4 linked regions of the Diceros bicornis minor genome follow. The protein of the gene in region 4 interacts with the protein of the main gene of each other region in a pairwise test. Links are inferred from orthologs where the notes say so. Each region holds a gene or a part of one and is shown on either strand. Other genes may lie near its edges. The genes, in order: NGB, PLEKHF1, PRKAA2 and L3MBTL3.

What was found.
Region 1: the proteins of L3MBTL3 (region 4) and NGB interact in binary tests that used the Homo sapiens proteins (3 or more experiments, as listed by UniProt). The two-hybrid records come from large-scale screens. The link is inferred for Diceros bicornis minor from reciprocal best matches to the Homo sapiens genes L3MBTL3 and NGB.
Region 2: the proteins of L3MBTL3 (region 4) and PLEKHF1 interact in binary tests that used the Homo sapiens proteins (3 or more experiments, as listed by UniProt). The two-hybrid records come from large-scale screens. The link is inferred for Diceros bicornis minor from reciprocal best matches to the Homo sapiens genes L3MBTL3 and PLEKHF1.
Region 3: the proteins of L3MBTL3 (region 4) and PRKAA2 interact in binary tests that used the Homo sapiens proteins (3 or more experiments, as listed by UniProt). The two-hybrid records come from large-scale screens. The link is inferred for Diceros bicornis minor from reciprocal best matches to the Homo sapiens genes L3MBTL3 and PRKAA2.

Annotation. Positions count from the first base shown.
Region 1 is NC_080763.1:25,129,271-25,136,874, reverse strand, and holds the start of NGB (neuroglobin), read left to right. Parts: upstream 1-4,588; 5' UTR 4,589-4,763; coding exon 4,764-4,852; intron 4,853-6,392; coding exon 6,393-6,504; intron 6,505-7,128; coding exon 7,129-7,248; intron 7,249-7,604. UniProt on the Homo sapiens protein: Monomeric globin with a bis-histidyl six-coordinate heme-iron atom through which it can bind dioxygen, carbon monoxide and nitric oxide.
Region 2 is NC_080773.1:3,863,762-3,871,314, reverse strand, and holds the start of PLEKHF1 (pleckstrin homology domain-containing family F member 1), read right to left. Parts: upstream 3,007-7,553; 5' UTR 2,866-3,006; intron 1-2,865. UniProt on the Homo sapiens protein: May induce apoptosis through the lysosomal-mitochondrial pathway. Translocates to the lysosome initiating the permeabilization of lysosomal membrane (LMP) and resulting in the release of CTSD and CTSL to the cytoplasm.
Region 3 is NC_080752.1:18,539,117-18,547,008, forward strand, and holds the start of PRKAA2 (5'-AMP-activated protein kinase catalytic subunit alpha-2), read left to right. Parts: upstream 1-4,889; 5' UTR 4,890-4,938; coding exon 4,939-5,032; intron 5,033-5,483; exon of another isoform or gene 5,484-5,522; intron 5,523-7,892. UniProt on the Homo sapiens protein: Catalytic subunit of AMP-activated protein kinase (AMPK), an energy sensor protein kinase that plays a key role in regulating cellular energy metabolism.
Region 4 is NC_080762.1:7,779,917-7,787,367, reverse strand, and holds the start of L3MBTL3 (lethal(3)malignant brain tumor-like protein 3), read left to right. Parts: upstream 1-4,437; 5' UTR 4,438-4,528; intron 4,529-4,551; exon of another isoform or gene 4,552-4,608; intron 4,609-5,305; exon of another isoform or gene 5,306-5,328; intron 5,329-5,414; exon of another isoform or gene 5,415-5,583; intron 5,584-6,262; exon of another isoform or gene 6,263-6,452; intron 6,453-7,451. UniProt on the Homo sapiens protein: Is a negative regulator of Notch target genes expression, required for RBPJ-mediated transcriptional repression. It recruits KDM1A to Notch-responsive elements and promotes KDM1A-mediated H3K4me demethylation.

The sequences.
Region 1 (7,604 bases), on a different chromosome or scaffold from region 4:
CAGAGCTCTTTAGAGCAGCTTCGGGAGGCGGTTGCCACGGAGACTGGAAATTGGTCCCAGGGACAGGCTGTGCTACCTACTGGGTGGTGGGGAGGGAAGCTTCTGGCCATGCTTGGATGTTCAGACCAACCATCATTAATGTTAATAGAGGAAATGCAGCAATGTCAAAAGCAAGGCAGGTTTGTTAAATTAGATCTGGGGCCTGATGACCTCCCTCTTCCAGGGCTACAGCCCTTTTGACTTCCCCCAGCAGGAAGCGCTGCCTGTGTGCTGAGTCTGGGCTGCTTGCTTAATTGCATTTCTGGAAGGGAAAGAGAGCAGGGATGGAGAACCTCTGCTCACCCCTTTCAACCCACCAATCTCCCTCCCCTCCTCCCCACAGGCAGAGTTGGTTTCTTCTGAGCTGGGTGGGGGCAGCCATCTGGGTGGGCTCTCCTGGAGGTAGCATGCAGGAATCTGTGCTTGGCTCTTAGCTGAGAACAGTGGCCCACGATGACAACCAGGAGGCGGCTGATGATCCCTTGTGCCTTCTTATTTCCTAATGGGATCTTGTTGGAAGGGAGGAGCTCTGAAGGAGCTAAAGGGGCAGCCACTCGGAGTGAGGGGGAGGAAGGAGAAAGCTCAGCCAGTTTCTGCCTGTCCCTCCCTCCTGATCTGGCCACACTGGGGACAAAGGGTTCCTCTGTCCCTTCCACTGCTCTCCAAGGATGGGAGAATTGTCTGCCCACTCCCTCCTCTACCTCCTTGCCCAGACTGGCAGATACTTCTCTGGGGACAAGGCCACGTGGGTTGATGCAGCTTCAAGTGCCCAGGTTCTGTTGTTGGAAGATGCTGCGGAGAGGGGCTGGCAGAGTGGTGCTCCAAATATGGACTCCAGCCCCCAAGAATTGGCAGAAATGTGACATGCCCCACAAACTTGGTGGTGGAGGAAGAAGACTTCTGTTAGCCCAACCTCCAGCCAGCTTCTTGTGCCACGTTTTATATTAAAAAAATTTTTTCCACGGATAATCAGAGGATAATTTGTAATAAATAGCTCTTATTTTCAATGCTATGTTGTTCTTGTTGTACTTAATTGAATCTGACTTGCCCTCTGGCTCCCAGAAGGAAGAGAAGAATGTTTTGACTACAAGAACCATTCCATTGTGTCTCAAGTCTGAGGCCATTCTAATTCCAGCAGAGGCCCTGGGCTGCGAAGGTGAGCCTAATGACCCAGAGGGCATTTGGGCCCTCTCACCTACAAGGTTACTTGAGTAATGTTGGTTATTATTTTGATTTTCTTAAACTTATTCCAAAATAAGTAGGAAGCTGGACCTTATTTTTTCTCTTTTAACCTGCCCACACAAGTATAGAAAGGAGTGAAAGATAACAGTTGTCCACTTCTGAGACAGCTGAATAGCCCAGAATTGTAGCAACTTCCATTCTGCTTCCCCAAGACTCCCATCTTGACAGGGGTCTTCTGTTATCAGGAGTCACGTTTAGGTCCGAAGGGGGCAAGAGCTGACTTGTGTTGGACAGTAGGTGGGGGAGGAGAGAAGTAGCACTGCACTGTGAAATTGGGGGTCTTCTGGGCTGCCTGACTCCTGTGCCCCTTAGGACCCAGAGTAGCTGGAGTCAGGGAAGGGGAGGGCATGCAGATCTTCAGGAGGTGGAAAATGCCTAGGATAGGCAGGTTAGAGAAGGACCAGACACTTCTTGACTAGCGCAGCTTAGTTTACCAAGTCCCGACACATCTGTGACACTTCATCCTCATAAAGACCCTGTGAAGTCAGGGCTGTTTTTGTCCTCGTTCTACCCATGAGAGATTCAATTGCTTGCCTGAGGTCCCATGATCAATAAATAGTAGAGCCAGGACTAGGCGCCAAGTTGGGCTTTTTCTGCATCTCCAGCCGGGTCCTGGGACTAGAAGCACCTTCCCAGAACAACCTGGCAGCTCTGGGTCGCCTGGGGAGAAGGCGTGGACTTGGTTCAGAGGTGTCCAGGTTTAGCATGTTCCTTTGTACATTCTGCTTAACGCATGGACAGCTCATCTAGCGCCCGGTGTTTCCTGGTGCACCTAGACCAGTTTTCTGAGGAAAAAGCCCTGATTTGTGGCATTTTTCCAATTTCCATGGTGTCAATACTCCCACCATGGCCTATTTCAGGCTACCAACCTGATGTCACTGAAAGATGCTCACATTTGGCTCTCACAAGCCATCTAAGAGCCTGCCATTGACCTAGGCCCAGGGACATTGGCTTTGAACTGTGGAGGCAGCTCTTGGTCACAGCCCCTCATTAAAATGAGGGAGGCAGTGGAGCATGGAGGCCTGGAGGATGGGACAGAGTGAAACCTGAGGTCAAATCCTGGCCCCACCGTTTATTAACTATGTGACCTTGAGCTAGTTACTTAACCTCTCTGCCTCTGTTTCCTCAACAGTAAAACAATAAATAGTACCTACTTCGTAGTTATTGTGAGGGTGAAAAGAGTTAATGGTGCAAAGTACCTTGCACAGGGCCTGGACAAGAATGCTCAGTACGTGCTAGCTCTGGATTACTGTTGACGAGAAATTGACCTCAGTGACGGCACTGGCTCTAGAACAGTACTTGAACACTCCCCTTGATTAGAACCTCCTGCCCAAGTCTCGGGCAGATGCCAGGCAGGGAGGGGAGCTCCTGTGACTTTCCCCAGCCTCTCAAATGTGGAATCAGACCCTCCATCTCCTGGTTGGAATACACCACCCTGAGTGCTTAGGCCCAGCCAGAGTCTCAGGCCTTTTCTCTAAGGGGAGCAGAGATTAGAGTACACTTAGCTCTCTCCTCTGGCCTCCTGCTGGCTCTAGAAGTGCTGAGTGAGTGCTGACTCCACCACTTACTAGCTGAGGCCATTAACTCCCGTTAACTTATCAGACCCCAGACCCTGTCCAAAGGAGAAAGGAGGCAAGACGGGTCCCGAGTGTAGACTGATGCCAGGAAGGGCAACCTGGGTGGAGTGGGAAGCCTTAGACGAGTCAGGTGGCCTACACGGAGCATCAGGCACCTGGGCACTGAAAGGTAGAGGTCACCGGAGACATATGTCGCCTCCCCACCATCCCCCCATGACCTGCTGACCTGGCTGCAGGGCCCAGGATGCCAAACTGGAAGTCTAGTCCTCAAGTACCCTGGCCACCTTCTTCCTTCAGCCCTTAGTCCCTTCATGCTCTTACTTGGGGATCTCACAGACTCTTTAGGACACAAGCCAGGCTGCCTCACAGTCTTTCTCTCCTGCTCCAGCCCAGAGACCCCAGAGATATGTGGGGAGATGGGGAAGAGAGGAATAGGATGTACTCCAAACTCCTGAGTCCTTGGACGAGGGAGAGCAGCTAGGTGGTTTCATCGGGCTTGGCTGTGAGCAGGAAAGAAGAGTTCTGCTGAGACCCTCAGTCCTGACTCAGGGCCAGAAGGAGTTCTAGAAGGCAAGGACTCAGCACTCCATGCCTAGCACAGGGTTAGGCGTGGAGCCTCAGCCTGTCCATCACCAGTGGCCCTGGAACACTCACCTTGTATTCATGGAACCATAGGAGGTGGACTGAAAGGCCCCCTAGAGACCTTGCTACCCAACCTCCTTACTGTACAGCTGAGGAACTGGAGAGAGACAAGTGGGCAGACTGAGAGGACACAGGCTCAGAGACATGAAATAATGAAAGATAAATGAGGGTTTTGCTCTTCAAAACCTGCCCACCAGAACTGGGCTGGGGCCTGGGGAACTTTCATGCTTGAAAGAGAAAGGTTTAAGTGGAATTGACAGGTGACCAACTTCACACCCTGAATGGCAAGCATGAGATTCTGTTACCAGAACTTCAATTTAAACTTGTTAAAGAGTCTATTAAAAATCGTGGAATGGTGGAATGTTCGGGCATAACTCCGTCAGTGTCCAGGTAGTACAATGCTCATAGCTGCTGCACCTGGACCCCACCCTGGCCAAGCAGATTGGGGTTAGAATGGAGCTCACAGATTTCTAAAGATGGAGTCTCAAGAGAACCCAGGCCAGGCTGGAAATGGCTGCCGTCTTGGCCCTGTCCCTAAGGCTGAGAGCCAGGGTGGCGCCCAACGTGCAGGGTGCCTCAGTCAGAGCCAGAGCTAGAGCAGAGAGTCCCTCAACCTCAGCCTAGTCACACAGGTAGGCGCCCTGGCATCCCCAGATCAGCCCACGGGGCAGAAGGAAGCAGACCGTGTGCCAAGGGGATGGCAAACTCAAATGCCTCCAGGCGGTGTTTGAGTGGGCTTTGTGGAGAGGTGGGCCTGCAGAGCCTACCTGAGGCGATCAAATTCAACACGGCGCCCTAACTTGTAAATGGTAAAATTACCACCAGTTTCCGCATGAGAAACAGGCCCGGAGAGGCTCGACGATTTCCGTTAAGCTCTGAAGCCCGGGCATTTCCCATGCCACCAGGTCGCCCCTGGCCAGAGCCGGTTGCCCAGAGGTGCGCGGCTTGATGGACCGGAGGGGGGCGGGGGTCGCGGTTGCTTTAAAGCGCCCCAGCCAGGGCGGCGCGGGGAGGGGCGCTCTCGAAGCCGCGGGGCGCAGCGGCCGGAGTGGGGTCCCTCGGAAGCGCCAGCAGGGCCCGCAAGGCGGGGGAGCCTCCACCTAGGGCGGGGAAGGAGCGGTTGCTGGACCCCGCCCCGCCGAGGCGCGCGGGCCGTAGGGGGTGCGGAGTGGCCCGCGTCGCCGCGGAGATGGCGCGCCACGTGCGGTGACGGTGCCCGCGCCCCGAGGGTCCCAGCTCTGCGCCCTGCGTTCCCGGGCGAGCATGGAGCGCCCCGAGCCCGAGCTGATCCGGGAGAGCTGGCGGGCGGTAAGCCGCAGCCCGCTGGAGCATGGCACCGTCCTGTTCGCCAGGTGAGGTCGGCCCGAGCGCCCCGGGGTGCGGGAGGCGGGGTGCCTCGGTATGAATGGGTTCCAGGCGGCTGGACCAGCACCAGAGGAGGGAAAACTGACCCGCTGCCTTGGCTCTGGGGCGCCTCCAGATGTGCGCCAGAGGAGCGGGGCCGGCGACGGGTGGCGCAGCCCCTTCTTCTCTTCCCCGGGCGGTGAGCGCGTCCTGCGAGCCAGCACTGCACATCCCGCTCCCAAGCCGGCTCACTGGGGGCGGGCGGGGGTCCTCTCCGCCGGAACTCCTTACACTCGGGCTAGCGGATGGGGTCCCCACTGCGCCCTCTCCCCGACTCTATGCTTCCTGTGTGTTTGTTCCTGGGGTGTTGACTGCAGGGGTGTCCCCCCGCTGTCAGTACAGGGAGACTGAGATGCCCCGAGGGCCCGTGCAGGGAGGGTGCCGGGCGCCTGGCGGGGCCTGGGTCCGGGCCCCAGGAGTGTGCGCTTCCAGCAACCAACAGGAGGAGAAGCCTTTTCCAGGAAAGGACCAGGCTAGAATCAGAGAACTGCCAGGGAAGGGAGGACAGGCACCCAAGTCTGGCCCCAGGGGAGAGGGGGTAGGGGGTGCGCAGACCCCAAGGGGGAAGGGGAGGCCAGTCTTCAACCTTAGCTGAGGGTCTCTGGGTAACCCCTCTGCCTTCACAAAGAGGCAGCACTCCCTTTCACCATGGTTTTTCCGGAGCCTTGACTCCCTAAGCCAGCCCAGAACTTCTGAGGAACCTTTTGCAAAACCTCCCCCCAAACAAAAGAGGAATAAATTCCCAGTTACACAAAAACCCAATGAGCCCTCCCAGAGGTGGCTGAGGGCTTCTGCTTGTGCCTCCAGGTTCTCCCCAAGCCCACTGTTTTCTCAGGCACCCTCTGAGGCTCTCTACTCCCAAGCTGCGTGACCTTAGGCAAATTACTTAACTTCTCTGGGCTTCTGTTTCCTCCTCTATAAAATTGTGATGACAGTTGTACCCACTGCTTAGGATCCCACAGTGTACCCCCTGTGAGGAATACACGAGTTCACCACGTGTAAAGTACTCAATGCTCAGTTAAGTGTAGGGAGTTCTTAATATTATTATTATCATCACTGGCTGGAGCCCCCTTAGACATGATGAGACTGGGAGGTTCTGACTCAAGAGGGGGAGGGGTGGGGAGAGAGTGGGGGGTGGGGAGAGAAAGAGAGACAGAGAGAGAGAGAAGTGTTTTCCTCTCCCCACAGTGTAAGCCCAGGCTTCCTGTTTGAGGACCCCTTCCTGTCCCAGTCCACACCCCTCAACTGTTTATGGAGGGCTACTATATGCCAGGTCCTGTGAGAGGCCTGGGGACACATTGCTCTTTCCCGGATGCCCCTCAGAGCCTGCAGAAGAGGCGAGAAGGGGGCGCCAGCAAAGCTGGCAGAGGGGTCAGTGCCAGCTTGGAGGGTGTGCTGTAGTGGCCCAGCCCCACCCCACTGCTGGAAGCCAGGGCTGATGCGGCCGGCGGGGCCTGCAGGGGCTGACACCTGGGCCTCTCCCCGCAGGCTGTTTGACCTGGAGCCCAACCTGCTGCCCCTCTTCCAGTACAACTGCCGCCAGTTCTCCAGCCCAGAGGACTGCCTCTCTTCTCCCGAGTTCCTGGACCACATCAGGAAGGTGAGGGGAAGTCGGAGCCCAGGGGGCCTCTGGGATCCAGGAGGGCGCCTTCCTGGGAGAGTGAGGGCCTCGGGAGAGGGGAAATTACTTCTGCCCCAGGCCTGGTGTTACTCCCCTCCTTCTGCTCCCCACGTCAGGGGCATCTGCTCCTTTCCCTCTGCACGGAGCCGGGCCCAGTCGGGGGCACCAGTCAGCCCTCTCCCCTCCTGTGCTCTGCCAGCTGGTCCCAGCACTGTTGTTGTCCTCGGCCTCATCCCCTGGCTCCTGTAGGTGGTGTTGGCACTGATCCACTAGGGGTCATTTCCCTATGAAAACCAAGCTGGGATTTTCTTAGAGGCTCGTGACTCTCACAGGGCCTCAGTTTCCCCTCATCCCAGGCAAACAACAGTGTCCAGCAGGCACGTTTAGGGCTTTGAGCCCTCAGAGGAGAGGGGCTTCTTTCACGGTGTAACATTGGTAGTTTGGCCACCACATGTTTGGCGCCTACTGGTGCCAACACAGGTTGCCTTGCGTTTCTGATCCTGGAAAACTGAGGGTCCTGGTCACCTCTGACTTCTGGTTGGGATCCTCAGGTTCCGGAGGGTTGCTCTGGCCTCTGTTTCACTGCTGCCTCGGCCTTGGCAGGTGATGCTGGTGATTGATGCTGCGGTGACCAATGTGGAGGACCTGTCCTCGCTGGAGGAGTACCTTGCTGGCCTGGGCAGGAAGCACCGTGCGGTGGGCGTGAAGCTCAGCTCCTTCTCGGTGGGTAAAGGGTCTCTTCCTCTCTCTGGAGCCCCTGACATGAGACTGCCTCTCTCTCCCAGTCCTCCCCTTCCACCTGTTCTCTTTTCCCATTCCCACACTCTCAAATGACCAGGGCTCGGGGCCTGCACCTGTTACTTACCTGCTGTGTGACCCTGGCACTGCCTTGACCTTTCTGAGTCTCCAAATTTCTCCAAACCATAGAAATTTAAGGAGCCTTTAGGATTAGCTGGTCTGCTCAGTTTTCTATTGCTGTGTATATAACCATACCCAAACAAACTGGCTTAAAACAATGACTTGTGATTCCTCTGGGCTCAGCAGGGCGGTTCTTCTGTTCCACATGGTATGGCTGGAGT
Region 2 (7,553 bases), on a different chromosome or scaffold from region 4:
TGGATATTAGACCTACATGTAAAACATCAAACCCTAAAACTTTTAGAAGAAAACACTGAAGAAAATCTTTGTGAGCTTGGGTTAAGCAAAGAGTTCTTAGATAGACACCAAAAGCATGATCCATAAAGAAAAAATTAAAAATTGGACTTCATCAAAATTAAACTTTTGCCCTGTGAAAAACACTTTTAAAATAAAAACAAAAGCCACAGACTAGGGGTAAATATTTGCAAATCACATATGTGACAAAGGGATATATATCCAGAATATATAAATAACTTTCAAAACTTAACAAAATGGAAACAAACAGCTCAATTTAAAAATGGTCAAAACATGCCAATAGACGCTTTCCCAAAGAAGATATATGGGTGGCAAATAAACACAGGAAAAACGCTCAACATCATCAGACATTAGGGAAATGCAAACTAAAACCACAACAAGATACCACTACATACCTATCTAAATGGCTATAAAACCAAAGCAGAACAAAAAATGGTAATGCCAGGTGCTGGGGAGGACGCAGGGCAGCTGGAACTTTCATACGTTGCTACTAGGAACGCAAAACGGTGCAACCACTTGAGAAATAGTTGACAATGTCTTAAGAAGTTAAATATACTCTCACCATGTGACCCAGCAATCTCACTCCTAGATATTTACTCAAGAGATATAATGACGCTTGTTCACACAAAACCCGTTAACAAATGCTTATAACAGCTTAATTCACAAAAACCAAAAATTGGAAACAGCCCAAATGTCCTTCAGATGAATGGATGAACAAAGTATGGTATATCTGTACAAGGAAATGAAAAGGAACTCAGGCATAATAAGGATCAAACTTCTACAGATCCAGCAACAAGGATGGATTGCAAGTGCATTACGCTACAAGAAAATCCCAGACTCAAAAGCTACATGCTGACATTCTGAAAACGCAGAATTCTAAGGATGGAGAACAGACAGCATTGCTTCTGGTTAGGGGTAAGGTGACTGCAAAGGAGCAGCATGAGGGTGACTTTTGGAATGATGAAAGCACTTTTGTATTCTGAATGTGGCAGTGGTGACACTGTATACATCTGCCAAAACACTTAGAACTGTACACTAAAAGAATGAATGTACTATAAATTAAAAATGAAAACAAATATTAGTAAAATAAGTAATTACATAATTTGTAATTTAAAGTCTCATAGCACATACAGCATTTCCTGTATCTGCTCTTTACATGGTTGCCAACTAACTGGAATGTGTATGTGTGTGTGTGTTTTCCTTTCAAAAGTTCAGTGTTGGATTTTCTAAAGAAATAGCAAGTCTGGGAGCTGGGGTTTGGTGGCCATCTAGGCCTCAAAGAAAATCACACTGGAAAAGTTCCAAGTGACCTATTGTTAGGAGAGGAGAAAAGAAAAGCAAGCACAATTTTCCATTGTAAGAACTCTCTCCCAGGGTGTAAAGGTCCTTCTGACCTTCCCCTGGGGATTCTTAGCTATTTCCTGTTCTGAAGGCCAGGGCTCAGAACTTCTCCTCCCTTTTCCAAAGCCACAGGTGGGAATTTCCCAAGCCGGAGTCAGAGTTTCCCTCCCTCAAACCTTAACAAGCAGAGCTCTGAATAAGTAAAAATCCACCGGCAAGATCAAAGACATACAATAACAACAACAAAATGCAAAACCCTCCCATACCGAGTGAAATAAACTAAAACTAGAAAAAACAAACAAAACAAAAATTAACAATCTAGGCATAGAAATGGCGTTACAAAGGCCAAGGCAAAATATCACGCAAAAAATTTTTCTGAAGGGATGACTAAATTAAGAGAAAGGAGATTTCAGAAATGAGCCTAGTTCTTAAGGCTGCCCTGACCCTTCACCTCTGTGGGGGAAGAGGGAGAATCTCCCTCTGCCCTTTCCCTTAAGGCTCTTATGGCTGTCCAAATAATTAACAAGACAGGTTAGCAGGAGAAAATAATACCAAGTTTAATAACATGTATACATGGGAGAAACCAGGGACACTGAGTTTCTCAACACAGTGGCAGAGATTCTCGTCTTAAATACTATCTTCAGCTAAAGGCAAAGAAGGATGTTGGAGGTGGGTGGCTTTTTGGGATTTCAGAGGGGGAGAAGACAATTTACATGAAGAGGGAAATGTAAATATTTGTCAGACAATGCTTTGCAAGGCCACCTATAGAGAATGTGGCCGGAGAGACAGGAATTATAGTAATCAAGAGTATGTACATTTAAGTCTTCTTCTTCCGTCCTGATAAGAGTTTTCACAGACAAGGTCGTCCCCCCTTCCCACTACACAGAGGGAGATACCTTTACAAATGTAAATATTTGGTAAACAGAACTTTGAAAAGAATGGGCTTATCGAGGATGCTGCCAGTCTGTCCACACCCAGAGTTAAATTCCTTTAGGCAGTTAGTGGGGGAGGTCAAATGTCCATCAGAGAAAATAATCAAGGTAAAGAGACATATTTCAGGGTGGCCAAATTTTGATCTCCCACACCTCCAGCCCCCAAAGCCATAGGGAGAACGAAGAGGGAGAGGCCAAAATGCTGGGGCGGAGGACACTCAGAAACACCTTCCCGTTAGAGGAAAATAGACAGAGGTTATCAGCCCCTTTGGGAAGAGCTGCAGAAATTTTGACTGTCTTCCACGCCCCCACCATCTCAGGGTCTTACTGGAGCAGCACGAAACCACCTGGCCTCAATGTTTTGACTTTTCCTGGCTTGGGAGCACAGCTAGAGACTGCAGACAGAACGGTCCTGTCATGGTTGCTCTCATTTTCTCCAGCCACAAATTCCACAGGGATTCAGAAAATAGATGACTGCTGTTGGGTCTGAAAAAATGAAGAATGTCTCCCCACCTAGAATGCTTCTAGTACTCACCCTTCTCCTGCCTGACGGTTGATGGTGAGCCTCTCGATCACCAGCTGCTTTGCCATCCAGAGTGGGCACTGCCTCATTGGTGCTGGGGAGCGTCCCCAGGAGTTTTGCCTGGAGCCTACAGCCAGGCCCCTGTAGGAACCATGGGGCAACAGGTCTACCAATGGAGATACCCTGACCTCTCCCTTAATTCCCCCCTCACCAGCCTGTAACAGCTCACAGGGATGTCCTGAGACCCCGGTGTTACAGAAGAAGTTGTACAGAGAACTTAAAACAGCCAGTGTGGGGATTGGCCCTTGCATTCCCTAAGGGCCTTTTATGGTGCGTGTGTGCATGTGTATGTGTGTGTTGTAGAAACTTTAAAATAGTTGTTGTAAAACAAACAACAGACAACAAAACAACAGCAACAAAAAACCTCCAAATCTTCCATCAAATTAAATCACAAGGTTTAAAAAACAAACAAAACAGTACCCAAAGGCTTATCTTGAAGTCCCTCCCTCCCCTCTCCTACCCTCCCCCAAGTCAGACAGCTGTGATCTCTTGAGCTGATTTGTCTCAGCCATCTAGCTTTTTAAAAGCCTCATAGTCAGTGTCTGACAAGACTGAGGGTTTCTGAGCCCCTCGGAGCCCAGGGGACTGTGCGTGAAGTCAAAGACTGAATTTGCAGCTCCTTCAAGGAAGAAGTCAGCAGAGCTCAGGGTGAGTGAATTAGCACAGAAGAGTCCAAGGCGGTGCAAGCACACAGCTCTTACTGCTGCTTTCTGCATTGTGACCAGGGAGTGGTTTTGGAATATCTATTTCCTGTTTAAGAAGTGAGTCCCTTCTGGTTTTCATTCTCTGGTATTAAGACTGCCCTGAACCTCCTGTTCCCTCCCCCTACCGCCCTCCACGTGGGCATCCTGGTCGCATGGGCCTCTGGCTACACCCAGTGTCAATTAGAAACAGGATTTCACCTGGCCAAAGGCTGTTTGACTATCTGGAGTCCAAATCTCCTGACTCAATTCACATTTTTCCTGAATTCATCATGTACAGCACAGAACAGACTTTCCCAATAGGCAGTACTGCCTCCAACGGAAAGTCAGAATGCATGTATTTTCTTCTGGTTTGAGACGTTCCCCAGTTCTGAGCCCAGAGGGGAGCTTTCTTTTCAAGGTCATTGCACACAATTGGGCAGGTTGTTCACTGCACGAAGATGCTGGGCAGAGATGAGAGGGGCTGAAATCCAGCCTTCACTCCGCCTGCCCAGGCGGGTCCTGTAGGCTGCACCAGTCCAGAAGGGGCACAGATTTTTAAGTTGTCAGTCTAGAAGGGGAGCTTGCAGATTATAGAGACCCTTTTCCTATCCACTGCCCACAATACAACCCCCTTTGAAGAATTATAGGACCTCTCATTGCACAAGGCAATCCTGAGGCTCCTACAGGCAGGGCGGGCTCCTGGGTCCCTTGGAGAACAGCCTGGAGACGGTCCTCATGAGATTCATGTTTAAAATTCATGGTTCTCAACCGTGGGTGATTTTGCTCCCCGGGGAACATTTGAGAATTTCTGGAGACATCTTTGGTTGTCGACTCAGGGGATACTCTTGACTTCTAGTGGGTGGAGGCCAGAGATGCTGCTAAACATCCTACAAAGCACAGGACAGCCCCTCTTTACAAAAAATGATCAGCCCAAAATGTCAACAGTGCCACTGTTGAGAAATTCTATCCAAAATGAACGTCACAAAGCCATCTGATAAAGCAGACTGTCCTGTTGCAGCGTGTCGCGTGCCTGGCTCTGCACCAGCTCCCGATAGGTGTGATGACTGTTTCTGTGTTCATTTCCCTTCTGTTCCTGCCCAGCTTTGGGGAAGGTCTTGCCTCAGTGTTGGAGCCTTGGCCTGTGTCCGTCCCCAGGTCAGAGTGCAGTGGTGACCAGGGCCCTTCCTTACTCTGGTCCCCTGCATGCAGGGGCTGGAGGAGTCGATGAGGACCCTCGGGGGGGAGTGGACCCCCAGGGCAGGGGCAGCAAGGCCCAGCTGCGTCCACTCTGCTGGGTTTCTCACCCTATAGCCACCTGGGACACACAGATTTGGAGAGTCAGAAAAGCTGTGGCTTCCACCTGGTGGCCCCTAAGGAGGCTGCTCCCTTGGCCCTCAGAGGCTTTGAAGACCAGAGGTCTGGCACTGAAGTGGTTCTCTGTCATTAGAGTCAACACCCGAGTCGTCATTCTTTCCCAGTGTGCAGGCTGCCAGCTTCCCGGCCAGCTGTCGTCTGTCTGTCTTTCTCTCACATCTCTGAACTCGGCTGCTTCCTCTTCTGGAACACCCTTTCCTCTGAGTTTCTTCTGGGAAATCCAGCCTTCAGGCCTCAGATGGACGGTCCCTCCCCCTGCAAAGGATCCCCTGACTTCCAGGTTGAGTTGGAGGCACTTTCTACTCTTCCTCCATGCTCCCGTAGCATCCTGCTCAACCCTCTTACAGCTCTGTCGCTCCGCATCGTGGGTCTGTCTGTGATTTTGCCTCCCCGGAGACTGAGGCCCCGAGGACAAGTTCCCTTGTGCACACCCACAGTAGTCGCTCGTTACTTGTTTCTGTTTTGAGTCTCCCCTTGGGAGCACAGGCTAGAGTTCGGGAATGTAACAGGAATGTTCTGATGCCACTGAGGTTGATCTCCGCCTGAAGCCCAGGCACAGTGGTTACACTCAGAAGCTGTTTCCTTTAAGAGGAGTCTTTCCTGACTGCTGGCGTCACGACTGCATTTGAAAGTGTTTGCATGTGTCCACTGTTTATGGGGCCTCTTTTCCTTTGGAGTGTTCTGACAGAGAATGGAGTTTAACCTTTGAACACGTCTCCACCTGTGCTCCTTATACCTGCAGGGGTGCTCATTACCTGAGGACAACCGCTCTCAGAGAACAACCCCTTCAAGCGAATCGACTCAAGATGGGGACACAATAAGAAAGAAAAGAAAAGAAAGGAAAAAGCGACTTGATCTTCAAAAATGAAATAAAATTATGAAAATGTTTGTCTTCCATTTAACAAAACATAGGCTACATTTGCAACTACTCAAACATTCCTAGAATAGAGCAAGCTTGAGTCCTGCTGGTTTGGAGAAGGCTTCCGTTCTCACACAAAATGTGTGATCGCTCAGCAGGGCATCCTTCTCGTTACCTCTGACTTTTGTTGCTTGGTCATAAGAGCCAGTTTTGCAAAAACATTTAATTATTTTATCAATTTTCTTAACCCATTGAGATTCAAATCATTCTCTTTTGAAGCCTGTCATGTCATTAACCTCGTTGATTTTCTCTGTTAACTGGTCTATTACATACGTATTTTTTGATGAATTGTTATTTTATCAAAATGAAACATCTTTTTAAAAGCATTTTACTTTGAATTCTATTTTTCAATGTTAATATCCTTATGTTCTGCCACTCATACTGTTAGTGTTTGCTGAACAATCTTTGGGCACACAAATATTGCCTAAGCGATCTTTTTCCATTGCTTTGTTTTGAATTTTTTTTCTAGCATGAAATGATACAGTGAATTTCTCATCGAAAAGTCGCCTTCTTCGCCCCCATTCTCCACTCTGGTATCACAGGGTGCAGCACCAAGGAGAGAAGACTCTTCCTAAATCCATCCATCTTCAGGGGAGTCCAAAACAGATCTTGTGGCCTCTGAGGTCATGTAGGTATGACCTTGACCTGCAGGTCAGAGTTTTGGGCCCTTTAAAAATGGCCTTTGAACAGGATCATCTTAGGGTATCTGCAGCTTTAAGTGAACAATGGTGATACCAGGGGGCACTCACGGGCCTTTTCTCCGTGCTGGGCAGTGTGCTGAGAGCTGCTGCAGGTTCACGGGAGCTTACAACATCCCCATCAAGCGAGTCCCACGATTACTCCCACCATTAGTCTCATTCCACACATGAGAAGAGTCAGGCTCAGAGAGCTGAAGAGACCTTCCCAAGTCAGCCAGCTAGTGAGTGGCAGAGCTGGCACTTCTATCCAGAGCTTTCTGACTAGAGCACCTGCCCTTGGCTGTTTGTGTGTGTAAATGTGTCAGTACCTTACCTGAGTCCACCTCTGCTTCTCTCTGGCTACTTCCAATGTTGTCACTCACGTCTGTCTTTATATGGAAACCAGGTCAAATCCTTGTCCTAGGGATTCCTGTGCCTGACTCTCCTCCATTCCCTTCCCAGTTCTGCCTTCATCCTTGTTAGTGTAACCCAAATATAACTGGGGTCCCAAGTAGCTCAGTCTGTGGGCGTGTTGTAGTCACAGACAGAACCACAGCCACAAAGTAATCTAAAGGACTTCCAAGTTTGTGCTCAGGCCCTTGAGGAAATACCACAAGAGAAAACACATCCTTAATTTCAGCAAACGTTTAAAACTCCTTCCTATCCAGCACGGCTAATTTCATCCTTCTAGTAGAGGGTGACGGCTCTCCAAGGCTCTCTTTCTTCCCCACTCTTGTCTCCTGGTCCTCCAAATTCTCCCTGAAGACACTCAGCCGGGGCAGCTTGCCATTTCTGTTCTTCTTCATCTTTTCCCATCTCAGCTGCTTATGACGGAGACCAGCTTTACCTCTCTGGTGTCTTCAGTTTTCTCTTTCCTTTGTCTATTATCCAGACCCAGCACAGCCAAGGATAGGTCAGCTTATGACGCAGGAAGCAAGAATCCCTTCCCCTGGTAAGCTAGAGAGAGAGAGGGAAGGTGGAAAACTC
Region 3 (7,892 bases), on a different chromosome or scaffold from region 4:
CCAGGAAACAAACAAATTTTGGGCAAAGATAGATTGGTAAATGTTAACAATGTCGATAATCATTAAGGGTGGGGATTATTAATACTACTTTACTTTGGTGTCTGAAATTTTTCATAATAAAAATTAAAAAAGAAGTAATTATTGAACTTGTACTACATATAAGATACTATCAACACATTTCATTAATCACTGAGTCTCCAATTTTCTTTTTATTTTAAACTGGAAAACAATACGAGGAACACTTGCTCATGAATATATAAGGTCCTATATGGTCTGGCTTATGCCTATCTCCAACCTCACTAGTGACTAGTACACTGAGATGGAAAATTATGCTCTGTATTTAATATCTGTACGCATAAAATGGAGCTGCTATTAATTTTGACTTCTTTTTTAAAGTGCTCCTCCCTGTATTCTTGCTTCTTGATTTTATAGCTTAGTAACCGTTTTCTTTATTTCAATTCAACAAATATTTCTGGAATGATGTACCAGGTTAGGTTAGGCCCTAGGAAGAGCAGATGGGGTATGTCATTTTCATATATATATGAAATATTCATTTATATATGAAATATTCATATATATAATAACAGAAATGATAGATGCTATAATAGCTATATGAAAAAAAGTGCTATGGGAACCCTAAAGAGAAACATGTAATCAAAACTTGATCAACCATGCTAGAGGAAGGAGAGAATTATCTTTCTATTCTTTCCATAGAAAATGTTACAAACTATGAAGAGGCAATCAAAGAATATGCAGCCAAAAAATGTAGAAAACAAGTATTATCAAGGCATGCAGGATAGTTAATTTATAAAAATATGATTTTCTTCTGGATTTAGTGATCTTTGTGTTGTCAGCTTCAAAAAATGTGTAGATGTGTTTTTTCATTTCAAATAAATATACGCTTTCATACTCAATTTTGCATTTTTTTTCCTTAAAGAGGTCCCGCACATCACATAAACCTCAGATGCCACACAACCTGAATCCACTTGAGTGCCTATAATTTGCTAGGCAGTGTTCTGGGAGCTCAGGATACATTGGTGAACAAAATAGAGAAAACAATCCTCTCTTGTGAAGCTTATGTTCTAGTTGAGAGACAGACAAAACAAAAACATAATAAACGTCTAAATTAAATAGTATGTTAGAAGGTAAGTGCCGTGGAAAAACGTTGAGAAGGGTTGGAGGATGGAGAGTGCAGAGCAGGGAGTGTGGGTGAGATGAGAAAGCATTTGGCAAGATCCAACATCCATTTATCATAAAAGCTCTCAATAAAATGGGTATAGTAGTTTCCTTCTTCTATAGAACTACCTCAACATAATAAAGGCCATATATGACGAACCCACAGCCAACATCATATTCAACAGTGAAAAACTGAAAGCCATCCCTCTGAGAACAGGAACAAGACATGGGTGCCCACTTGCACCACTCTTATTCAACATAGTAATGGAAGTTTTAGCCAGAGCAATCAGGCAAGAAAAAGAAATAAAAGGGATCCAAATCGGAAAGCAAGAGGTAAAACTGTCACTATTCGTGGATGACATGATTCTCTACATAGAAAACCCTAAAGAATCCACCAAAAACTATTAGAAATAGTCAATGAATACAGTAAAGTTGCAGGCTACAAAATCAACATACAAAAATCAGTTGCATTTCTATACACTAACAACCAAATAGCAGAAAGAGAAATCGAGAATACAGTCCCATTTACAATTGCAACCAAAAGAACAAAATGCCTAGGAAATTGCCATTTTCAATAAGCTGGTCAGAGAAGGTAAGCCTCAGCGAGAAGGTGACTGTGAGCAAAGACTTGAAGGAACTGGTTATTGATAATACCAACAGACTCTAGTATAGTATATGAGTTCAGTGGTATGCCATTATTCTCTTATTCAGGCCCCACTTTAGAATATTTGAAGTAAAATAACCCCAAAGACCCAACAGTAGGAGGGTAAAGCAGGAACAGTTGACCAGGGTTAAGAACTGAGTAGCTGCCTGGGGCACTCATCTTAGACATTGGTACTAAACAACACAGAGACACTGAAACATCACTGGAAAATAATACAATGGGGAACATTCTATCTACCAGAACATTTTGGGAGGTGAGACCCCCAAGGGGCATGACCCTTAAGGAGATTTGGTCTGATTAACTGTCAGGTTTGTACTGCAGGGTGGGGTGAGGCAAACATGGAACCACACCTGAAATGGTCAGGGCACTAGACGGCTGAGTGCTGCCACCAAGGGGTGCCCTTTCCCACCTTTCTCACCTATTTAGCATTCAATCTTCCCTCTAAATAAAAGAGGGGAAAACAGCTAAAAATATGAGTTTAAAGTATATATTGTTGGCCTGCTCTAGAAATAATAAAAATAGGAGACTGGGACTCTTAATTGTGAACATCTTAAATGTTCTTGGAGGGCCAGCCCCGTGGCTTAGAGGTTAAGTGTGTGCGCTCTGCTGCTGGCCGCCGGGGTTCGGATCCCGGGCGCGCACTGAGGCACCGCTTCTCCGGCCATGCTGAGGCTGCGTCCCACATACAGCAACTAGAAGGCTGTGCAACTATGACATACAACTATCTACTGGGGCTTTGGGGAGAAAAAGGAGGAAGATTGGCAATAGATGTTAGCTCAGAGCTGGTCTTCCTCAGCAAAAAGAGGAGGATTAGCACGGATGTTAGCTCAGGGCTGATCTTCCTCTCACACACACAAAAAAAATACAGCAAAAAAAAAAAAATCATTAAACATTCTTGGAGCACCACATGATCTTTATTTATAAGCAGCTGTGGCATAGTAGAAAGACAAAAGGACAGGTCAGAACTGGATATTGAGTTCTGACTCTGCCACTGAACTGATTAGCCTTGGCCAAATCAGACAGTGAAAAACTAAGTTTTATCATCTATAAAATGGGGATAATAGTTAAGTTTCTTTTACGACAATTAAATGAGATAATTGTGTTTAAATGAACTTTTTAATCAACAAAGTATCATACACCTGTTTGGCATAATAATAAAGCTACAGGGTAGTTTTATTTTATTTATTTATTTATTATAGTTGCTAGGTAAGGATCATAGTTATGAAGGATATAATCATTTAAGTTGTAATTATCAACAAATAGTTAAGACAGTGCAGAATCCTTTAAAATCTCTATAGTCGGTCTTCACGCAGCTTCAAGAAACCAATCTAACAGACTTTTCAACATCTTTTAATGGGATGTTAGAACAAGAGACAGACATACATCTTGTTATCTCAAAAGCAGAATATGTATTTTGTTTCCTTATTCACTTGAATGAATACTGAAGGAGTGACCCTTAACCAAATGAAGGAAGGGTCAGCATCAAAAATAACTGGCTATTTTCTCCAAATTGCCAGCTAGGTAGAGTGATTCTTAAATGATACTTCTTGTCAGCAAGAAAGATGATCCCAAGAATGAACAAAAATAGCCTCTGTTCAACAGCTGCGATATCTATAATTTATAAGGTGTGATCATCTCTCATTAGATTGTCACGGTGTCTAAACAAGAATGTATGTATATTTGCCATTTGTATATCTATCACTTCTCAGAAAACAAACTTCTGTTACATCTTATTCTTTCTGATCAATGTATTTCTCTCTTTACACATAAACAGCGTGATAAGACACTTCTTGTTTGAGGAATGTGACCTTGAAACGTCATCGTCATGCACAACGTTAAAAATGTTCAACTAATCCTTAAACATTTATTCCAATCAGCAAATAATTTGCAAGCACTGAAAGACAGGCAACATTGAAGAACAGGACGACACGGAAGGAAGGGAGGGAGGGAGGCAAGGAGGAAGGGAAGAAGGAAAAAAAGAAGGAAGGAAGGTAGGAAGGAAGGAAGGAAGACATTCCTTCATTACTAAATTCCTGTCAGTATTCAATACAGTACCTGGGTGTCGCGCCTTTGTTTCCTCTTACCATTTTGTCCCCCCACCTTCTATCTTTATCTTTCATTCATTTGTGCCCTTACAGCCCTTCCTCTTCACAATTCTCTTTGTCTCTTATGTATTTTACTTCCTATGCTCACTATATTCAATTTCCCTTTTCATTTCTTGCACTATTTTCCTCTGGTGCAGCCCCATCACAGGCTATTTCTACACTATATATTTATCTAAGCATGTGCTAAATACCATCAAGCAAATATTGTGACTGATTTAATGAAGAACTTTGTGCAAATTAGTTAGAATGGAGAGCTCTGGAGGAGAGGGTCTCTTCCATCTCTAGGACAAAATAATTGAAAATGATGAAATACGTAGAGGAGGACAATTGAAGAGAGCACAGCATTGGGTTCCGTGTGTGCCACGACCTGTATCAAAAACTCCCAGGCCGTGACGTGAGGAACTTCCTCCTGGCTCTCCTCGGGCTGACCTTGGATCCCGGCCCCCGCCGCCTCCCATCCCTGAGCTCCCTCATGCTCACACTGCGGTTTTCACATCCTCTCGCTCCCCACACTGTGGGCCTGTTTCTCTGCTTCGAATTCGACTCCCATCTCTTTCCATTCGCTAAGATTCGCCCAAATCTCAGCCGCACACTTTCACTCCCTTCCGTTTTCCTCCTAACGGGCCCCCTAGAGCACCCCCCTCGCCCTCGGCCCCTCCGCAGGTGAGGGCGCCGTCCCTTCACGGCTCCCCGCGCACCTGTCGGCCTCCCCCCACCGCCGCCCGCGCTCCGGCCCCTCCCTCCGCTCCGCGGCCGGGCCCGGCCCCCGGCCTCTCGCCGCGCCCCCTCGGTGGGTCTGCGCGCCCAGCCTCCGCCGTTTAGCGAGTCCCCCCCCCGGCCCGGCCCTCCCCCGCCGCGCCCCTCCGCCCCGGCCCCCCCCCCCCCGGTCCCGCTGCACTGTGGGTAGGCGGCGGCGGCCGCGCTGAGGAGCCCGCGGCGGCGGCGGGGGAGCAGGCGGAGGAGCGGGCGGCGGCGAGGCCGCGCACGCCGAAGATGGCTGAGAAGCAGAAGCACGACGGGCGGGTGAAGATCGGCCACTACGTGCTGGGGGACACGCTGGGCGTCGGCACCTTCGGCAAAGTGAAGAGTTGAGTACGCCAGGCCGTCCGCTTCGCCGAGGCCGGGCCGGGCCGAGCCCCGGAGCCCGGGCGGGAGGGTGGCGGGCGGCGGGCGCGGGCCTGGTGGCAGGTGGAGCGGCCCGGCCGCGCGGAGCCGGGGCCCCGGGAGGGCGCGGGCGCACCTGGCCCCGCAGTGGTGGCAGGTGCAGGGCAGGGGCCGGAGAGGAGGGCGAGGGCGAGGGCGGGGGCAGCAGTGCCGGGGTCCAGGGCCCGCGCCCAGCCGCCCGTCCGGTGGTCGGGAGCGAGGCGCTTCCCCTGCGCGGACGTGAGTACCTTCTGTAGACCCGGGAGCGCGGACTCGGCGGTGGCGTGCCTTCCAGCTGCGGCATGGGCCGGACGGGGGGCTCCTCCACGGTCCTGATGGTTGAGTTTCCATTCTGCCAGGTGCCCCGTTAGGTGCTTTCCTTGTGATCTGTAATTCTCACAGCAGCTGGGTCAGGTGTTCTTCTCACGTTGAAGGTGAGAAAACGGGGACCCCTAGAGGCTGAGGAACGTGCTCAAGGTCACACAGAAATTGGCAGAACCAGGATGAAGAGTAAAATGTCTTCCGATTCTGGGCAGGCTGGGAGGTCCCTGCCCTCCCGATTCTTGCATGCTCCCGGGCTCTAGGTTGGTGGGGCTGGCTGTCTAGGGGGTGCTCCAGGGGCGAGAGGTGGGTCGGTCTTTCTGCTGGGCATGTGAAGGGCTGGCATGCAGCTGGATTTGTCAGGGGTTGATTAGAGCTGGGAGTTCGGAAGGTTGGTTGGCATGTGTAAAATGGTTCTAGGAAGGCTTCAGGAGTGGGGCAGAGAAAAAAGCCCCCTTGGTGTTGACCTTGGAGGATGTGGGGCTGAGGAGGCCAGAACTGCTGAGGCATAGTCCGCTGAGGTCTGTTTTCTTGGTGATAGGATCCCATTTTGGGTGTAGAAAAACAGGCTGCTTTTGAAATGTTTTACTTCTTACTAGTTAAGTATTGAACTTTCCTTTTCTGTTGTTAATAAGTCACATGGGATTGAATTGTTTTGTCCTCTTTCCAGAACTAGAGCCAGCTTATTAAGTATACTTTCCCTTTGATTGTTGCACATCCAGGATTATAAGTAAAATGTTGAATTTTTTTTTTCTTTTTGCTGTAGAAGTTCAGTAGGCAGTTTGGAGATTTTATTCTGAGGCCTTTATTTGGTTTAAAATTCATATTTTAATCTTAAATCAAGGCTGTTAAATAGGTAGAAGAAACTCATTGTTTGCATCAGCTCTTATTTACTTCCACATATCTGATACCGTTTTGTTTAGAAAATGCTTATTGTACACCTATGATGTGCTGGCCACGGTTCTGGGCAGTGAGGATACAGCAAGAAACAAAACCAGATTAAAATCCCTCCTTTTGTGGAGCTTATATTCTAGTAGGGGAAGACGAACAATAATCACAATATGTATGTAAACTATATAGCATGTCTAGTGCTGTTGAGAAAAATGAATCAGGGAAGGGAGCATAGGGAGTTTTGTGAGGTTGACAATTTTCAATAAAGTTGTCAAGCAAGGCCTCACAGATAAGGTACTGTTTGTGTAAAGACCTAAAAAGGTTGTAAAATTCTTTGAAGTCCTATGAGGCTATGAAGTTCTGGATTATTTTTGAAAGACCTCGTAAATAAAGTGCATAGTTCAGAGAATATATTTAGCTTGAATATAGGAAGATCCAGGGATTGGATTAATGCTTGTAACGTTACTCGTCATTAAGTATCATTACTGAGGACTAATGTGTTTGGACATTATTCACTTCCTGAAGCAAACAGTGCCTTGGCCATCTGGACATGTACACTCTTAAAGTTATATAACTTACCCTATGTCCTTTCAAAACATTTTTGTTTATCTTTTTAAATTCTTCAGCTGTAATCTGAATGTAGACTAGAACACCCATCAACTCAATTGGCCCCTTGTCAGAGGACAGCTTGAATCTCTTTTGTATACTCTTGAGCTGCTTCCAGGCACTGGCTTCTTCAAATATAGGCCAACAGAATATACTTTGATTTATGAGAAATTCTTTTCCTGGAGGACCCCTGTCCAAGGAGCAGCCAGTTGGAGGGCTGTTCTGAAGGCTAGGTTACAGCCTTTGTAAAGTTAGACTGTGGTTTCCCATCCAAGATTAGAGTTGTTCAATAAAAATTATGGAAGTTGCTACAATCTAAAGTTACTCATTTAATTCTTCGAGGGACAAGAAACAAAAGTACGTACATTTTTAAAAACAGCTTTATTGAGGTATATTTTATGTATAAAATTCACTCATTCCAGGTGAACAATTCAATGATTTTTAGTAACTTTACCAAATGGTGCAACCATCATGATAGATCAATTTTAGAACGTTTTCATCACCACAATAGGATCCCTCATGCCCGGTTACAGTTAATCCTTGTTCCTGCCCTCAGCCCCAGGAAACCACTAATCTATTTTCTGTCTGTATAAATTTGCTTTCTCTGGCCACTTCTTGTAAATGGGGACACTCAGTGTGGAGTCTCTCATGTCTGACTAATTTAACAATGTTTTTGAGGTTCATGCGTGACATAGAGTGTGTCACTAGTTTGTTCCTTTTTGTTGCTGAGTAATAATCTATTGTGTGGATATGCCACATTATGTCTGTACATTCACCATTTGATGGACATTGTTTTCAGATTGGGGCGGTTACAGATGATGCCGTCACAAACATTCACATGCAAGTCTTTGTGTGGACATATGTTTTTATATATCTTAGATACCTTATATATCTTAGATACCTTGGAGTAGAATTGCTGGGTCATATTGTAGTTTTATGTTTAGCTTTTAGAGAAACTACAAACTGTTTTCCAAAGTGGTTGTACC
Region 4 (7,451 bases):
CAAGCGTGAGAATATGAGTGGTCCATTTCATCATTTTTATTCTTATGGTAAAGCACTCCCTACTGACTCATAGGCCGCCCTCTGCTACTAGATTCAGTCCTTGGATTAAATGTCCACTCCTGGACCAATCAGCTGGGATCAGGCAGCCAGGTCAAATGGAAAGAACATTCTAGAACCAGGCTCAGAGAGTATTGGGGTCTGTTGTCACAGACGTTCTGAAGTCTGGCTTGTCTGCTCTAATATTGTTTAGTTATAAGGCTTCTGGATTTTGGGCTTAAATGAGTAAATGTGTTATGGGAAATTACAAATTGTCTTTTTCTTTTTAATTTAGAAGTCAGTTTACAGATCTATATTATTCCACTCTTTTGAATATGTCTGTCATATTTCTATCTTTACCTTTGCATCTAAACAAAATGATAAGAAATACATCTATCCAGAAGTTCCTTACATATTAATTTCTTTAGGATGTTGAGAATGTGATACACATCATAATTCTTTCCTTACCTGATGAGTAATATATCCTTTTTCTTTCACCTTTAGCATTTCAATTACATTTCATTATCACAAGCTCTGTGCTAAGAATGCATGCAGATCACAAGAAAGATAGCCAGGATTCAAATTAGACTACCTATATGAACATTTCAGTGTTATCTAGAACACTAACAAGAAAATCAAACTCAGCTCTTACAAATATCAATAATAAGAATCTGGCCAAATCAATGTTAACGTCATTTTTATACTTGGAAAAACATGGAGCACACGATTATGTAGGCTAAAAAAATCAATAACTTGACTCATACTTAAAAGTAAGATAATACATTAAAAGGATGATTTAAAGTGTTGTTCATTTAGAAAATTTCTATAGAAAGATTCAATTTTACCTTAAAACTTGTGACCAATAGCACACGTTGCAACATGGGGAACTGGGGTTGGGAAGCAGTTTGTGGCTATGAAACAGGTCAAAACTAACTAGCCATTAGGGAATGGAACCCGTGTCCCTCATCTCATTAGTTCCAGGCCTAAACCGACTGAATGAGCTATAAACGGATAACGTTCTGATACCTAGCAGATGGATGAACTTTTCACTCCTTACTTAACATTCCTTTCTTGGTTCCGTAATATTTGACAGAGTTCCTCTGTCAAAGGATGGGGAGGAACACGGCTTTCAAAGAGACCTCAGAAATCAATTACTCTGTTTTCTTTGTCTAACTAGTGAGAGAATTGAAGCCCTGAAATGGGAGGTGACCTGCCGAATGGTTCCCGGTGAGCGGTGGCAGGACTGGACCAGAACACAAATCTCTTGGGCACTTTCAATCTGTGAGGGGCTGGCTTGTGGAGGAGGCAGTCCTTGAATCACTCCAGGACGGGAGGAGTGTGTCCTATCAATGCAGAACAAGCTTAGTGTTAGGAAAAGGGAGGTTAGGTTTCTAAATTGAAGTTCACACAGACAGGAGGTTACCGGATGAAGCACAGTGCAAGGGGTTTGGAATGACCTTCATCTGGGAGGTGATGAGGAGCCTCAAAGAGCCTCTGAAGAGGGAGTACAGTGATTTGTTTAAAACGCTTTCCATGTAAAATGACTCTAGCTTCAGAATATTTAGGATGTTGAGAATGTGATACACATTATAATCCTTTCCTTACCTGATGAGTAATATATCCTTTTTCTTTCACCTTTAGCAAGGTGAAAAGGTCCTTTCGTGGCGAATAAGTTTGGGTGTAAATAAATAAATACAAAGAAAAGTAAAAGAGTGAGCTAATGCTTTAGTTTGGGATATCATGGAAGTTATAGACTTGGTCTGAAGGATGGATTTGCTAGGTAGGTGTGACAGGGTGGAGCAGAGTGGGATGGCAACGAGGGAGAGTGGTGGAGAATGATGAGATTCAGTGACGCTGGAAAGAAGGGATTCATCCTGAATTATTAACCAGTGACTGAACAGTGGAAGGGTGAAGGAGTAGCAAAGAAGCTTCTACTAGTATATTACCATTTAGGGAACAGACAGAGAAAGGTCCTGGAAATAGTACCAGTTTATATGAAGAATAACACAATGTTATCTAGATTCTAATAGTGCATTCTGCTTTTGTCTCAGGTGGTAGCACCAAAGGATTCCTTGTAGAAAAATTTGGTAGCAGCCTTAAAGTCGTTATTCTTACACGTGAATACCTTCAAAATATTTCCTATTCTGAACCACATCTTGGGGACAACTGCGATGAAATCTTTGATGGTTCACTGATGATCTCTGGAGAAGAAATACAATGTACTGTAGAGAGCCTCAACTCCTCATTTTTGTTAGTGAACCTCAGTAAGTGATAGGTCCCAGGCAAACCTTACTACCCAAACCCTTGACCTCTACTCAGGCTTTCTCTGATTGGATCCCCGTCCCAGAAGAAAGGTGGAAGGACACAGCCTGGATGCTTCCTTCAAAAATCGGCGTAGCTATGACTTCTGGAAAGCCTTTCCTTATTGCCACAGATGCCCCTCAATTGTACTTGCTCTGCACCCCCGGCTACAACAGTTACCATACTGTAATGCAACGCCCAGTTCACTAGACTCCTCTCTCGCCAAACTGAACTCCTTGTGGCCTAGTTTTTATCCTTTATTACTCCCCAGCACCTTGCAGAATGCTTAGCACAAGGTAGGCCGTTAATATAAGTTTACAGACTGTTGAACCAACATCTCTGAAAATATATGTGAAATAGAAATATCATCCAGAAATTATTTAGAGAGAATGAGTCTAAAATGGACTTTTAGAAAGAGGAATCTAAAATTAATTGTAGTTTCCTTTGGGGTAAGGTCTTAGTTTTGTACATAGTTCATAGCCTTTCTTTCTTGCTCCTCCTGTAGTCTGCCTTTGGCCATTTCACTGCCTATTATTCAAGGGCTAAGGAGAAAAGGAGAGAAGCTGAAATTCAGATCAGTTAATTAGGCTGTTTGGGAGCAGCTCTGAAAAAGTTTGGATGTGGTAGGTGAAAGCAATAGTTAACTGGTGGTCTGAGATTATCTATAGCTCTCACCAACCCAGCCTTCCCCACTTCACACCCCTAAACCAGTGGCTGCCCAACACATGAAGTGTATTTTATAAGCTCATTTCAGCCTCCCAGGGTTTGTTTCTTTGTTCTGGAGTACATATCAAACCATGTGTCCTGATTTTTGGTTTGGAGAATTTAGTCACCATACCAACAAAAGAAGCAGTGGGGGGTGGTGGGGTGTCTACTTCTCTAGAGAAATTTCATGGTCCTAGGGAAGGAATTTAACAGTTTATTTTCTGAAATTGGTTCAAGGAACATTCCTTAAGTGAAAAAATCCAATCAAGAATAATATTACTTACATTTTGGAGGAGGATTTTTAATACAGAATTTCCATCTGTGATATATTTAAATTCTAGGCCTCAGGCAGCAATTTCGGTAAAGGGCCTCTTTTAGCCTTTATTGGATGCAAAATAAATAGCCCTCTCTGAGGGGTGAGGCCTTTCTTTTACCTTCCCACCCCTGCAAAATGGAAGCGTGGCTTCCACCATTCCTGAAATCACATGTGCTACTTTTTTCTCGCACAGCAAACTCTGTTAACATTAAAATGTTTATCACAACTTCAATTACTTGAATTATTTTGCAAGAACCTGTACCTAGTAGAAAAGGAGAATGGTGAGCTGCCCAAAAGGAGGGCTGCAGTCAATAAATAGAAAGCTGTCAATACCGAAATACAATACTCTTGATCTCATTTTGACGCCTTAACAAAGACAGGTTTTGCGATTTAGGACCGCTCAGCCATCTTGCCTGAATATATTAAGAGGGCAGTCCTCGACCTGCTCACTGCAAGGTACTTTAACACTGATTTCTAAGTAGATGCACGAATCCCAACATATTTCACAACAGAGGCCTACCGTGTTTAAGCTGTCAATAAAGACCCACACTCAGGAAACGGGAAGAATGCGCAAGTTTTACACGCACACTTCATTATGCATTCTTTCCGTCCCAAAAGACGGGGAGGTTCTACTCTGTAAAAGCTTAAAACTTTATTTCTTATTTTTCATGACCTGTAGCACGCATGTAGCCTTTTGGGTAGTGTTTGCGTAAGACTAAGGCCCGCTCTTTAATGGCTGAATGCATACACTGAACAGTACATGGTGGATTAGCTGCTCTGAGAATTGCCTTTAAAAAAAAGTAAAGTGAAAAATAGACAAAGAAATCTATAACCTCTGCCGTCTTTCATATTTGTTTTGCCTGTTCTCGAACCAGCTCTCAGCCGGTGACAAGGAGACTGAAAAGATGCACCTGAAACAGTATCTGCGGGCAGCTGCAGTTGCCAACCGGCTTTATTGCTGCTTTCCAGCGGCGAAGGCGCGGCAGCAGCAGCCACAGGGCAGCCAGCGCGAGCCTCCCCGGCGGCGGCGGCGGCGGCGGCACCGGCACCAGCGCAGTTTCCCCTCTCCCCAGCCCTGACTCTACGCGCACATGCGCACTGCGCCCGCAGCCCTGGACCATTTGTCAGGACTACTCGTGAGACGGAGAAAAAAAAAGAGAAAATTTGGGGGTAAGAAGCGGTTGATCGGATCTAATCTCTAATTAATCTGAAGATCTGCCCGTGCCAAAGCCATTCATTGATTTTTCTGGGTGAGGATGAAAGTTAAGAGACCTATGGAGAGAAGGAAGCGCACCCTCGTCTTGTGAAACAGATCAGGGGAGGGGAAAGGACAGAAGGGGCTTCTCCCCCACTTCTCTGCGCCTCTGGGAAAGAGGAGAAAACTTAATCCCGGGGAAAAAAGTGGGCAAGTGACTCGCCAAGGGCTGGAGGGGGAGTCTCTGGGCATCTCACTCTGAAGTAGTGAGTGCGAGTGTGAAAGAGGAACAAAAGAGAGAGAAAAGAGAAAGGAAAAAATGGGGGGAGGAGAGACTTGTATTTTTTTCTTTGCGCGCACACGGGGAAGGGTGTGGGGGGCCGTGCGGAAGGGAGCCGGGGCGAGGCGGCCGCGTCGGGCTCTGCCGGCGCGCAGGCGGCGGGATGCGTGTGGGCCCCCTCCCCCGCGCCCCCCGAGCTTGTCACTTTGGTCGCTTTCATGACACCGGGCGCGGGGTGGGGGAGCGCGGCGGCGCCGGGCTCCGCCGGGGTGCGTGCCCGAGTGGGCGCCGCGGAGCCGCAGCCGGGGCGGCGAGCGCGGCCGCCGAGGCGGGGGGCGCCGGCGGGGGGCGCGGGGGCGGCCGGGGCCGCGGATCGGTGCGGCGGGAGGCGCGAGCCCCGCGCGCCGCCCCTGCGGCCCCCTCCGCCCGTGTGGCCTTTGTGCCGGGCGCGCACCGGAGAGCGAGCGAGCGGGCGGGCGAGCGCGAGAAGTACAAGTACGGGAGACCGAGGCAGTGGGAAAAGAGGCCGGGCCACTTTCTCCCCGCTCGGGCTGCGGAGAATGGACTGGTTGAATGTGCAGGCGCGTCTGCCCGGCGTGTGCTGTGTGTGCGCGGCGGAAAGGCCTGCCCGACTCCCACCGCGCACACGCACACTCACACGCACGCACACACTCGCGGACCCGCGGCGGGGCTGGGCGGCCGAGAGTTTGCGTTCGCCTCCTCGCCGCCTCCCCCTTCCCGACCGACTGTGTGAGAATTTCATATAGATCGGCTCCAATTTCCGCCATTTTGGGAAAGTTGCACAAAAATAAACCCTCCGGTTTATTTCTGCCCGAGGCAGGAAAGTGCTTCGGGAAGCGAGGCGGCGCGGGCCCCGGCGGCCGTGCGCGCGGGGGAGGGCGCGGGCCGGGCCGGGAGCCCGCGCCGTCGCGGCGTTCGCCCCGCGCCCTGGGTGCCGCGCCGGCCCGGTGCGGGCGCGGGCGTGTGCCGGGCGGCGGCGGCGGCCGTGGCGGCGGCGGGCGGGGAGGGAGGCGCGGGGCTGCTGTTCCTGCAACTTGTTTACGCCGCCCTTATATTGCGAGGCGGCGAGGGGTCCGAGGCGGGGCCGCCGCCCGCCTCGCGCCGCGTGCGTGTGCCATTCCGGAATAATGGGTCTTGCACACTCGCGTCCTGGGCCCGGCGGGCCGGCCTCGCGCCGCGGCGGCCGGGCGGGGGGAAGTAGAGGCCGGCGGGGGTGGGGATCGGGAAGCGCAGGAGCCGGGGCATCCGCCGCGCGCCCCGCGGGCCGGCCGGGGGGAGAGGGAGGAAAACTTGTGAGCCCGGGAGGCGGGGTGGGGGGGGCGCGGGGGCAGGGCGCAACTTTTGTGCTGGTGGTAAAACTTTAATTACCTTTAAAGAAAAAAGGCCCCAGGATCCCCCCCCCCCCCGGTCGAAGCACGGCCCACAGCGCGACCGTGAGAGAAAGTTTAAAAGCGGGCGGTTTCCTCCCCGCCTTGCCCGCCGAGGGGTGGGGGGATCTGTTTGTCCGTCTGCGCTCGGAGAGAGGTGGGGGTCACGAGCCGCCCTCCGGGGTCGCGAAGCCCGGGGTTCTTACCCCACCCTTCCACGGGGAGACGAAGGTAAACGTCGCTTCGGTTTCCCTCCCCCCCCTCCGCTTCCTTTTCCTCCCCCTCCCCGCCGATTTTTTGAGGGGACCCAAAAAACGGAGTCTCTTTCCTTATGCAACTTCCTCGGGCGCTGCGGGCACGGCCCTTCCCCCTCCCTGCATCCCTTGGCCCGCTCCTTGACCACCCCGGGGCCACCAGAAAAATGCATTAGAGCTCATTCAAAGTGCACAAGAGCAAAAATAGATTTTTAATTGTTCTAAGTTTAAGTTAGGGGAAACTGAGATGAGAAATAAGAATTGGGGGGCAGGGGAGCGGCTGGGGCGAGTGCGTCGAATTTTAATTTTGATTTTCCTAGCTTTTGTGGTAGCTTTATTGGTTTGGGGGGCCCGAGAGTCTCTGGACTGGCTAGCTCGGTCGCGTGGATTTTTGCGCAAGTTTTTAGAAAAACACTGACTCGAGTAGAGCATTTCGCCGGAAAGTTTCAAGTGCAGCAAAATCGCGAACGTGCAAAACTGGCCAAGGGGAGACCTCTAGTGGTTAAACGCATCTTTAAGTTCGGAAGGCCGAGAGGAAAGTTTGGCCTTTACTTGTAGCTACGTAGTCGGTTCAGACGTGGAAGTAATTAGACGACCTGTGCCAGCAGCCAGATGTTGTGTGAAAGGATGCTGATCAGAAATAGAAAGTTTAGTAAATCGGAGAGCAGATGAGTTCTGAGGACCCAGACCGGGTCACTTGCATCCCTCATTACTTACATGGGAAAAACACTTGGCTTTTATTCTGGGATTTGAGATTGGTCACTCTTGGGATTAGAAACAATTGTTTGTTTTTTTATTTGTTGTTTTGTATACCTTTGATCTATTTTTAATCACGAGTCACAGCGGATAATTTCATTTTGAATGTTAATAAGAATACAAAGTGCAATATATGTTTAGAACTTTGAAAAAAATGAAAAGACCTTTGGTTGAAATTTGCCTTTTAAATGAGCTGATCATTTTATTCTCTGATAAATAT